2 linked regions of the Drosophila melanogaster genome follow. The protein of the gene in region 1 purifies or fractionates together with the protein of each later gene. This does not show direct contact. Each region holds a gene or a part of one and is shown on either strand. Other genes may lie near its edges. The genes, in order: heca and raptor.

The links.
Region 2: the proteins of heca (region 1) and raptor purify together in Drosophila melanogaster (affinity purification with western blotting; one study listed by BioGRID). This does not show direct contact.

Annotation. Positions count from the first base shown.
Region 1 is NT_033777.3:30,276,183-30,281,224, reverse strand, and holds the start of heca (headcase), read right to left. Parts: upstream 3,294-5,042; 5' UTR 2,282-3,293; coding exon 978-2,281; intron 1-977. UniProt on the Drosophila melanogaster protein: Required for imaginal cell differentiation, may be involved in hormonal responsiveness during metamorphosis. Involved in an inhibitory signaling mechanism to determine the number of cells that will form unicellular sprouts in the trachea.
Region 2 is NC_004354.4:6,086,929-6,091,863, forward strand, and holds the start of raptor (raptor), read right to left. Parts: upstream 3,274-4,935; 5' UTR 2,779-3,273; coding exon 1,344-2,778; intron 1,286-1,343; coding exon 1-1,285. Other genes in the region: Mipp2 (multiple inositol polyphosphate phosphatase 2), read right to left, coding at 3,481-3,914, 4,189-4,366.

The sequences.
Region 1 (5,042 bases):
GAGATGGACAGAGGGTGAGGGGTTGGGATTCTTAAAACCTGAAGATCGCGTTCAAAACAACAACATTAAAAAAAAAAAAAACACAAAAAGCGATCTAATTCCTCTTCGTGTTGTTCTCCTATTCGCATTTTTTTTTTTTTTTGATCGCAATGAAATAAATAATAGTATTCGCTGCTCTGGGAAACGGAAATATTAAAAGTAGGCACAAAATAAATAAGAACAAGAACACATCTGGGAAACATACCATACGATAAATGTCCGCTGCTATATGGCAGCATATAAATTTCAATAATTTTTCATTGCCTATGATTTATGAGTAAAAAGAATGCCAATGAAGAGTGAAGAACTACAGCAGAATAAAAGAAAGAAAGCCTTGACCCACCGAAAGCAACAAAACAAAAGATTATAATATTTTATTCATTCCCTCTGAGTTGATGCAAATCGTCGACTTCCTTAAGGGGAAAATATTCGCAAATTTCTCGAATAAACCAGCGCATTTTATTTAATATTTCTGCAAATATTGTCTGTATTTCGCAGCTGTTCAGTCGTCAAGGTTATATAATCTATGGAACCGGCAAACGAACGAAAAACGGGCAAACAAACGCCTCAATTGTTGATAACACTGTGCAACACGATAAAGGAACGAGAGTATCAATCTGGTATCTATTTGGCATGTTTGTTGATAACACCTGAAGCCACTGGAAGTTTTATCAAAGGAAAAGCTAAACAAAACTTATAACAACTGCAGTAAATAAATTCGAAATATTAAGGCCCCCCTTGTCGTTCAGTGTAATTGATAAAAGTTTTGTGAATAAATATTGAAACGCTTATGTACCCCAACCACATGCTGGGGAATTTCGCCACACAAATTTCGCTTTGTTAAACAAGTTAACCAAGTATTTAAGATGAAATTCTAGACAATAAGACTATAGCTCCTTATAATCTATATGGTTATCATGATGATATCTTGTACTTACCGCACTCGATCGGAATAGAGTTCGACCTCCTTGTTCTTCTGCTGCTGCACAAGTTGCTGCTGCTCGTAGCTGGCCAATGGCTTGAAGTTGCTGATATTGGCCAAAGCAGGCAGGTTATTCTGCTGCTGCTGTTGTTGTTGCAGCTGCTGCTGCTGCTGCTGCTGGGGAGCAATCAGCAGATTCTTGGACAAGCCCAATCCATTTTGCAAAAGGTTGCTGCCGAAAGCTGGACCCAGAGGCTGGATCAGCAGCGACTGCTGCTGTTGCTGCTGCTGCTGTGGCAGCAATTGCTGCACCGGCGACACGGATATCTCGCCACTGGACTGGGAGTCCGAGGGCGAGGTGGATCCACTGCCAGCTCCACTGGAGGATAGGCTGCCAGCCCTGGCGCGCAGGTCCAGGCCGAGGACATTGTTCGTATTGAGGATGTTGCTGAAAGTGGCCAGCGCACTGGTCTGCAGAACGCCGGAGGAGCCGTTGTTGCCACTGCTGCCATTGCTGGCGGTGTTGCCGTTGTTGTGGGGCAAACCCGACCCTATGACGCCCACATTGGGATTGGGCGTGAGTCCGGCGTAGCTGTTGCCGTTGTTGTTGCTCAAGGGGGTTTTGGTGTTGCCATTGACACCAGCACCACCACCACCGCCGCCGCCGTTGTTGTTGTTGTTGTTGCGGTTCCTCTTCTTCTTGGCCTTCTTCTTGTCGTCGTCCTCGCTGAGGCTGCCATTGGCCAGAGTGGGCCGGTTGCCAGACCCGTTGAGGTATATGACGCCCTGGCTGCTCGGCGGCACCCAGTCGAGGTCCTTGCGCAATTGTCCCCTGCCGCACTTGCAGCTGCAGGCCTTCTGGACCAGCTCGTAGCCCTTCTTGGTCCACAGGTGCTGCAGACGCTGCCGCTCCGACCAGGATCGAGCACGACCGTTGGCCTTCAGTGCCTGCAGCACGCTCGCCTCCCACCACTCGAAGCACTCGCGATGCATGTACTGGCCTGCGCTGCAGTTCTCGTTGTTGCACAGCACACGGATGCAGTCCGCCAGGGAGAGCTCGTTCAGGTGTATCAGGGTGTCCAGTTTGCGACAGTCTCCGCTGGGCAGGCAGCAGTGGACCATGCCCCCGCCGCCAACGCCGCCAACGCCACCGGTTCCCTGCATGGGCGCCATTAGGACGCCTGAAGAATTCACGTTCTCCGCGTAGAACTGCAGCAGTTGATGCTGCTGCGTCTGGTGCTGCTGCTGCAACTGTTGCTGGTGCTGCTGCTGGGTGCTGTTGCCGCTGCTGCTGATGTTGCTGTTGCGACGCGGAGCCATAAATTTGTGTTTTTTCCTCTTAATATGCACTCGTTGCGGCGAAAAACTTGGTTGGTTGGCTGGGTTGGCTGTCCTCGAGAATCCTCAATCTCTATTTCGAATCAGCATTTTGCCAACGATTATGAATTTCAAAATATTGCTTGTTGATTTTTTCGCGATTTTATGGTGCGATTTGCGGTCTATATAAATGCTGCTGGCATATATTTATTTATTTTTGAACCGATTCCAGAATATATTTCAACTGATGGTTTTGGCAGATCCAGTGAGTTTTCGTGAATTTTAGTGGGTTTTTGTAAATTTTTAGAAATTTTGCAGACAAAAGTCTGATTTTATACGGAATTTAATTTTTTTGTGTATAGTAAATGCTTGTTATTTTAGCGATTTAGTCTGTTTAGGTTTTAACTTTTCGGTTGCCTTTTTCAATTGTTTTCAGTTGGATTTTCCGAGTGGGTTTCTACCGAGATTGGTATTATTTTTAACTTGATGGGTAATTGCTTTCACTTATTGCTTTAAAAATTGTACACCTCCTTGCTGTGTGTATCAAAAATACTTCGAAAAATTCCCGTCAATGCAGTCTGTTGTGTTTTGCGTAATTTTCTGTTTTGTTGTTGTACCTGAGCTGAGTTTATTGTTGTTGTAGAACTTTAAGTATCAAAAATTGTTTTTTTTTTATTGTTTATCTTCGCTTCGTCCCTATCTCCCTCTCACACGATCGTTCGCTCTCATTCACACACGCGGCGCCATGTTCGGCAATTTTTCACATTTTGCTTCGCTTTCTGCGTTTATTTCTTTGCGCCTCTTATTTTTTTGCCGGCAAACAAAAAGGATTAGAGGATAGTGTAAATTTCCGATTGGTTTTTAGTCGCAGGACAATTGTAAACTGGAGTGTTCCTCTTCGATTTATTCGGTTTTGCTAGTTCTCCTGTTTTCCGTTTTTTCCCACCACGAGCGGCGCACGCAGAGAGAAGCCAAAAAACACAACCAACCAGATCGAAAGCGAAATTCAAACTGTTTTTGGTCTGTGCTTGCTCGCCGCGTTCGAACATCGCGCGTCGAACATCGCTGCCGGCGTCGCTGCTTGGCATTGGCAGCGAAGTTGGAGTTTTCCTCCACTCCGATTTTCCGCACTTCTTCATTCCGTTTTTCGGGGTTGGTGGGTGGTGGTTGGCTGGTTTTCACTTTCCACCACCGCCGCCAACCGCTCGCTTTTCATTCGGTGGAAAACTGAACAGATTTTTGGCGCTAAAATGAGAAATGGTGGGGGAAAATTGCGGAAGGGGCTACAAAAAAAGTGTCTAATTCACTAGAATTTTCCACTGTAGGCCAGAATTTGGTACATTTTCCCACTTTACAACGGAACTTTTGATAGCAGTTACATACTTGATTAGATTAAATGTCTTAAAAATATATGTAGGAGTTTAGACTTTTGTTAATAAGCTTCATTTCCATAGAAAATGTTTCTATCAAGCCGTATTTTCTTTAAACTAATAAGAATAATAATAACATGTTTCTAACTTTATAGCCAAAAAGGAATATATATTTCTCCCTATGTTTTGGTTCCAAAATTAAATGAATTCGATTATTATTAAATAATCTAAATTTAATTATTTATTAGAATTTTTAGATTTTACATCCATTTCATTTACAATTAGGAGCTCTCGATGATTCGCCAAAATTCACTTTCGTTGCGGCTCGAAGCTGGTTCGAATCAAGTTCGAAGCCGGTCGTTTCCCCTCCAACATGTTCGACTGCAGTTGCCATGCGAACGTCGAGCGCGTTGGCTCTGTTCCACATGCATGGAGCGTGCATATGTGTTTGTGCCAGAAACCGGCAAAGTAAACAACATGAAAACAGGGTTGCCGAGTCGCTGGAACTCGAACTTGCAGCGCACTTTTGCTTTCCGTGGCTAATCTTTTAATTCCAGTGGAAGTGGAAATGCCGTTCGATGTCTCCATCTCCCTCTGTCGGAACTGCCGTTCTCTGTCGCACGCTTCGATTGCTGTTATATATTTACATACAAACGTATCTATATAATCCCCTATATATTCGCAAGCACATTTGCACAAAAATACAAATACAATGAATGCATGCGAGTGCTGGCAATAAAAGTGGCAGAGACAAAAAGGAAGAGAATTAAAACATTGAACGAAAAAGAGTTGAAGATACCCTACCTTGAATTAAAACAACCAATTAAAACTTGAATACGCAGACCTATTACTGCTTTCAATTGAAACAAGTATGTACATATGTATGAATAATTGTAATAGTTAAATTGTTGATATTAGTCCTAAGATTACGAATATCGCAGGTAACTTTTGTATTATGACTACTTATTTGTGTTTTGACTGTAGGGTATTAAAGTTGCCACCAAAACCCAAATAAGCTTTCAAACGTAGAGCCTTTTTATTGTATCCTCGCCTTTGTGTATATATGTACATACACACATATAAAAATTCCCGCTGTGTTGCAAAAAAAAAAAGTATGCGAAAACGAATAAGAAGAAGCGGTAGAAATGGCAAAAAACAGGCACGTGTAGAACGAAAAGTGGTAAAGGGAAGGGATCTCGCAACCAGATGGGGTTTTCTTATAGGACTCAGGATCTCAGGATCCGGGGTTCTATTCTTTTGGTAACTGCGGTGCAAAGTCAAGGTCCAATTCCACTTATTTTCGAGTCAAACTGCGCAGTTTCCATTTTTTTCTCTCGATTTTGACCTGCCGGGTAGAAGAAGAGCGAGCAGGAGGGAGAGAACCAGAGGGTTCT
Region 2 (4,935 bases), on another chromosome or scaffold:
GATATGGAGCTGGAGCTGGCTCCCCTGCGAATGGTCACATGACGCTCCAGGCTGTGCGTGGAAGACGTCAGATCCCGGGGATCGGGGCACATCACGAACGAGGCGGCGGAGACGTGACCGCGCATGTGTTCAGTTAGATATACTGCCACGAACTGTGACTCGAAGAGCACCACCATCCATTGCAGGGCGGCGGCCAGCTCCATGCGGACCAGCGGCGACATATCCTCGCCGACGGTTTCGAGCATGGTAATGGCAATGATGCGATCGATATTATTGGCCTGTTCCTCGCTACGATCCGTCACGGAGCTAATAAATGTGCCTAAGGCGAAGACGGCAGCGGCTCTCACTTCCGGTATCGAGTCCCGCAGCAGTACGTACAGCTTCTCGTGCGCCAGGTCGCGTGCTCCCGACCAACGCGCCTTCTCAAAGTTCTGCCACAGCATGCCCAGACAGATGGCTAGCCACTGGCGCAGCAGCCAACTTCCGTCGTTCAACTGCTCAAGGCAAATAGACAGTAGGGGACCTTGAAGCGCGCTCGTCTGTCCCAGCAGGAAGTTGTGCACTATGGAGGACAATACAAAGGCGGACAGTGTACGGTGCTCCTTGGAAACGGAGGTGTCCTGCAGCACGGAGAGGAAGTACTTGTATTCCTTGACCAGATCCACCTGGCAGCTGGGATCCACGGCCAGGATCTTGGCCCAAATGAACACCAAAACGGGTCGCAGTTCGCGCGTAGAACTCTGCAGCAGTTTAAGCACGTATGGAAAGATGCCCACGCCCAGGGCGAGATTAACGGCCCACGGACCAAGATCCAGAAAGCGAGCCAGCAGCTCCAAGGCCCTCAGACGGTGCACCTGCGACAGTAGGACCTGCAGCACAATGGGCAGCTGTTCCGGTGGCGTTCTCGACTCCGATTCGCTGTCCAGCCAAACCTGGAAGGCCGTGAGCTGGTGCTCGAAGAATGGCAGCTGGCGGTACGGCGCATTGTGATCGAGAATCTCCGGCAGCTGCTGTAGAGCCAAATCTACCACCAGATCCCAGGCCTTCCACATCGGATGGCGATAACAAGGCGGCAGGGCAGGCAGGGAAACTGGTGTGCAGTCGTGGCTTCGCAGAATGCGCTCGGCCAACAGGAAATTGCGGAACAAGCTGGCCACCAGCAGATCCTGGCGAAACAGGCGCTGAAAGAGCTCGCGAGGAAGTGTGTTCCATGCTATCGTGTCCGTAATGGCGGTGAAGATCCAGTTAAGCTCACCCATCATAGTGCGCCGGTCGTTGACCTTGCCTGCGATAGAATTTAATGGTTAACAGCATTCCCTGGGTGAGTAAAGGTATAACCTTACCTGGAATCTTGTCGATCAGTTCGCTCTGAATACGCGGTACCATGCCCAGCTTTTCTTGCATGGCGTACCACTTGAGCGCTATGTTAATGGGTGTTGTCAGACAGCTGGTGAAAAGATCCGCCGGCAGCTGTGCATTCATCGGAAGAATCTCGTTTGCAGCACAGGCAGCCAGGTGTATACAGTTCTTGTAACTGACCATCTGGTTGGTTAACTGCACCTGGTTGGCGGCTACGTTGGCGGCACCACCAGAGCCGCCCACTAACTGTTGGACACCACCCCTCTGCTGGGCGGCGGCCAGCGCCTTCCCTAGTTCTTCCTCGTGCTGTTTAGCGTATGGCTGAAACGAATTGATGATGATCCCGGCGTTGGAGCAGTCATACACGTAGATGGAGGGCGCTGACATCCAAGTGATAAGCTCGAATATGCTCAGGGGGATGTACTGCGTGAAGGTCTTGTTGAACACCCAGATCTCCCCGTTGGCTGTGGGCTTGGGCACTCCGTGTCCGTTGTAGTGGAAGAGTATGCGCTCCCCCTTGGCGTTCCGGCGTAGGGAGGTGCAGAGCTTCTTAACGTCATCCACGGTGGGATCGTTGCACTTCTTGTACCGGGCCCTTGGCTGCCAGCGTTCGTACTGCATCTGCAGGTTGCTTCCAATGAGTTCCATGGCCTTTGGCGGGGACACCGAGCTGGGATCTATCCAGCACTCTAGCCGTGAGCAGGGTTGGATCTTGACCACGTCCGGCGGATCCACGCCGATGTTGAGGCACAGAACCAGGGCCACACTTGCCGTCTTCATGCGCTCGCGGATGCGCCACGGCTGTCTCTCGTACATCATGGCCTGGATGCGCTCCTTGTGCCTTTTAGTCTGCAGGGAGAGCGGGCACCTGTCGTCGCGGATACGCTCGCCGAAGCATAAGCTCCGAGCGGGCGGCATGCCCAGGATCTGTATTTCCTTCAACCGCAGTTTGATAGAGTCGTCCCGGGGCCATTCCTTTCTGATAGTCCGGATTAGCTCCCTCAAAGAACCGAGGGAGGCCAGTTCCTGGCCGTTGGAGGCCTGAATGTCGGATATTTGCTCGATGTGCTTCACGATTGGTACCAGTGATTGGTCCTGCCTCATGTTGCTAATCACCTTACCCAGGTCGTTCAGAGAGTCGTCCTGAGATGGGTCCCGGCCGATGGCCACCTGGTTCCCCAAGGCGGCGGATCGACAGTGCTCGATGTGCTCCAGTTGCTCCATTATCAAGATTATCGGATCGTCCCACGGGGCGAATACATATTTCTCGTATCTCTTGCGGATTAGGACGCTCAGGACGGCCTCCTTGCTGGAGGCCACCTCTTGATCCGCGACGCTGCCGTTGCTGCTGCCGCTGCTTTCGTCGACTGCGACGCCGACTGCGGCAGCGGCGGACTTAGCGCGAACGGCACTTGTCATGTTCTGCGTGCTTTTTGTTTCTCTCGTTTCTCGCTGTATTGCTTTTTTTCTTTTTCCGTTTGCCGAGGAGAGGGTGCAGCTCAATGCGAGCGATTTCCCGGAGCGATTACGTCTCGGTCGCGGATTCAATCAGCTAAAAATCCCCCCGAGGGGACTCTAGCACATAACCCCAAACACTTTTCGCACTTTCCGCACCTCCACCACCGCCAGCGCCTCCTCAGCTCCGCTCCGCGCTTTTCTGCTTTTCTTTCCACGTTCCTCTTCTCCACGTTTTCCGCCTACGGATCGCGGACCATTTCCCGAAAACGGGTAAAAAGAACTCGGGGAAAACACGCCGCCTGGGCTGATTAGGTCGATGCCGGGACAAAATAAAAACCGTACAACTATAGCGAGCGATCTCCGACGGAAGATGGTGCGCATTAACAGGTTTATTTACTTTCGCTTGGGTTTATTTATTTATGTTTAATCGAATTATATTATACGAAAAGAATTGCGCAGAAAATAGAGCTGGAACAAAAATCGATGATTTTTTCGATTGCACGCTGGCAAGCGGTTTACAACATTGATATCGATAATAAACTAACAGCGAAATGGCCTAGCTGTAATGAATGGCGTTGCCAGATCATTACAAGCTCATTTGTAGCGCGTAATTCAAAAGTTTGTTTTGGTTACATTGACAGAAAAAACTAAAGGACTGCTCACCCGCAAAACAGGATCCTCGTGCAAAGGCGGCGGATATCGTACAGTATGGATGCGATGACGGCCGAACAAACCCGTAGCGAAGCTTTCCGCACTTTTCAGCGTTCTCTGGGTCGCAGTATACTTGAAGTAGTACCACTCCGGATTGTACAACTCCGGAAGTAGATCCGGAAATCGCCGCTGCATCCGTTCCGCCAGCTCAATCAGCTCATCCTCACCCTCGGCCACCAGTAATTTCTCATCTTCAGTGGCATTCAGATGCATCCAGTGCCATTGGCGCAGCTTTTCCAATTCAGCGGTGCAGATCGGCGGCTTCGTCTGATCCAGAATGCGTTTCTTTATCTCTGATAGTCGATTTTGCGCCTGAAGGATAACGGATTCGCTAGGATTTCTAGTTCCGTGTCGGATGATGGTCCAAATTCGCGTCGGATGGCAGCCTTGTCGGGTGAAACGGTTAAAAGAGAAAAATCAGCTGTTCCATTGCCATTTGCTAGCAGTAGGCATCGGTAATAATAAACTAGTAATAGTATAATAACAAATCTAAAGCGATTCTCTGTTTTATGATCAATAAAGAATCCATATGCTTTCATGATTATGAATTCACTGTATTAAGCGAGCGCTGTTAACTGTCACATGGCACAACACATGTTTGTATTTCTAAGCGGGTGCCTACTGTGGGTGCGTTACACAGAAAACAACAAAAATACAAACCGGCGTATTTCGGTGGCGTTTCGTCATAATTTGCGATCGCTCTGTAGGGCGTCTTTGTGGACAGTCTGCCCTCGATATCTGCGCGATTAAGGCGGCGGCACTCCCCCTCTTCAGACAACGTCACGCCCACGAAGAAGTGGAGGAGCAACAAAAACAAGCAGTAAAATTGGCTTAGCATCTTTCCGGGCGGTGGAAAAACTTGTCACGAGATTAGAAACGAGGTTTACCGAAAAACGGGGTTAAAACGTGAAAAACAGAACGAAATGCCAGCTCAAAAGAAATCTAGGAAATAATAAACACGAAAGAAAAACAAATTGACAAGTGTGCTAGTCGCGCAAGGTGGCAAGGCTATCAGCTCAGCTGGCAGCCCTAACACATGGGGCAGCCAAAAAAAACCCGTTTCCACCGCCAGTTGGCGGTATTTTTAAATAGCATCTTCGATGGCATCAGTTGTAAGTGCTTGGTTGATTACTCATTTCAGGAAGCTTTATTAACACTATTTTATAATAAATTTAGTTAGATTTGCAGGTGCCTAAATCAGCGCATTGCCACTCAACAAGTGTTCACTTCGCCCAATCGAGCTTTCTGCCTCAAAAAGCTCTGTTTTAACCGGCCCGGCAAACTAAGCGATTAAAAAATGGTTTAGTCGCACGCCAAACACGCAAAAGGAATAAGCGTTGGCAAGGGAAGCATTTTGAATATCCTGTCCAAGAATAAAACGAGAAACTTACACACAACTTAAAATTG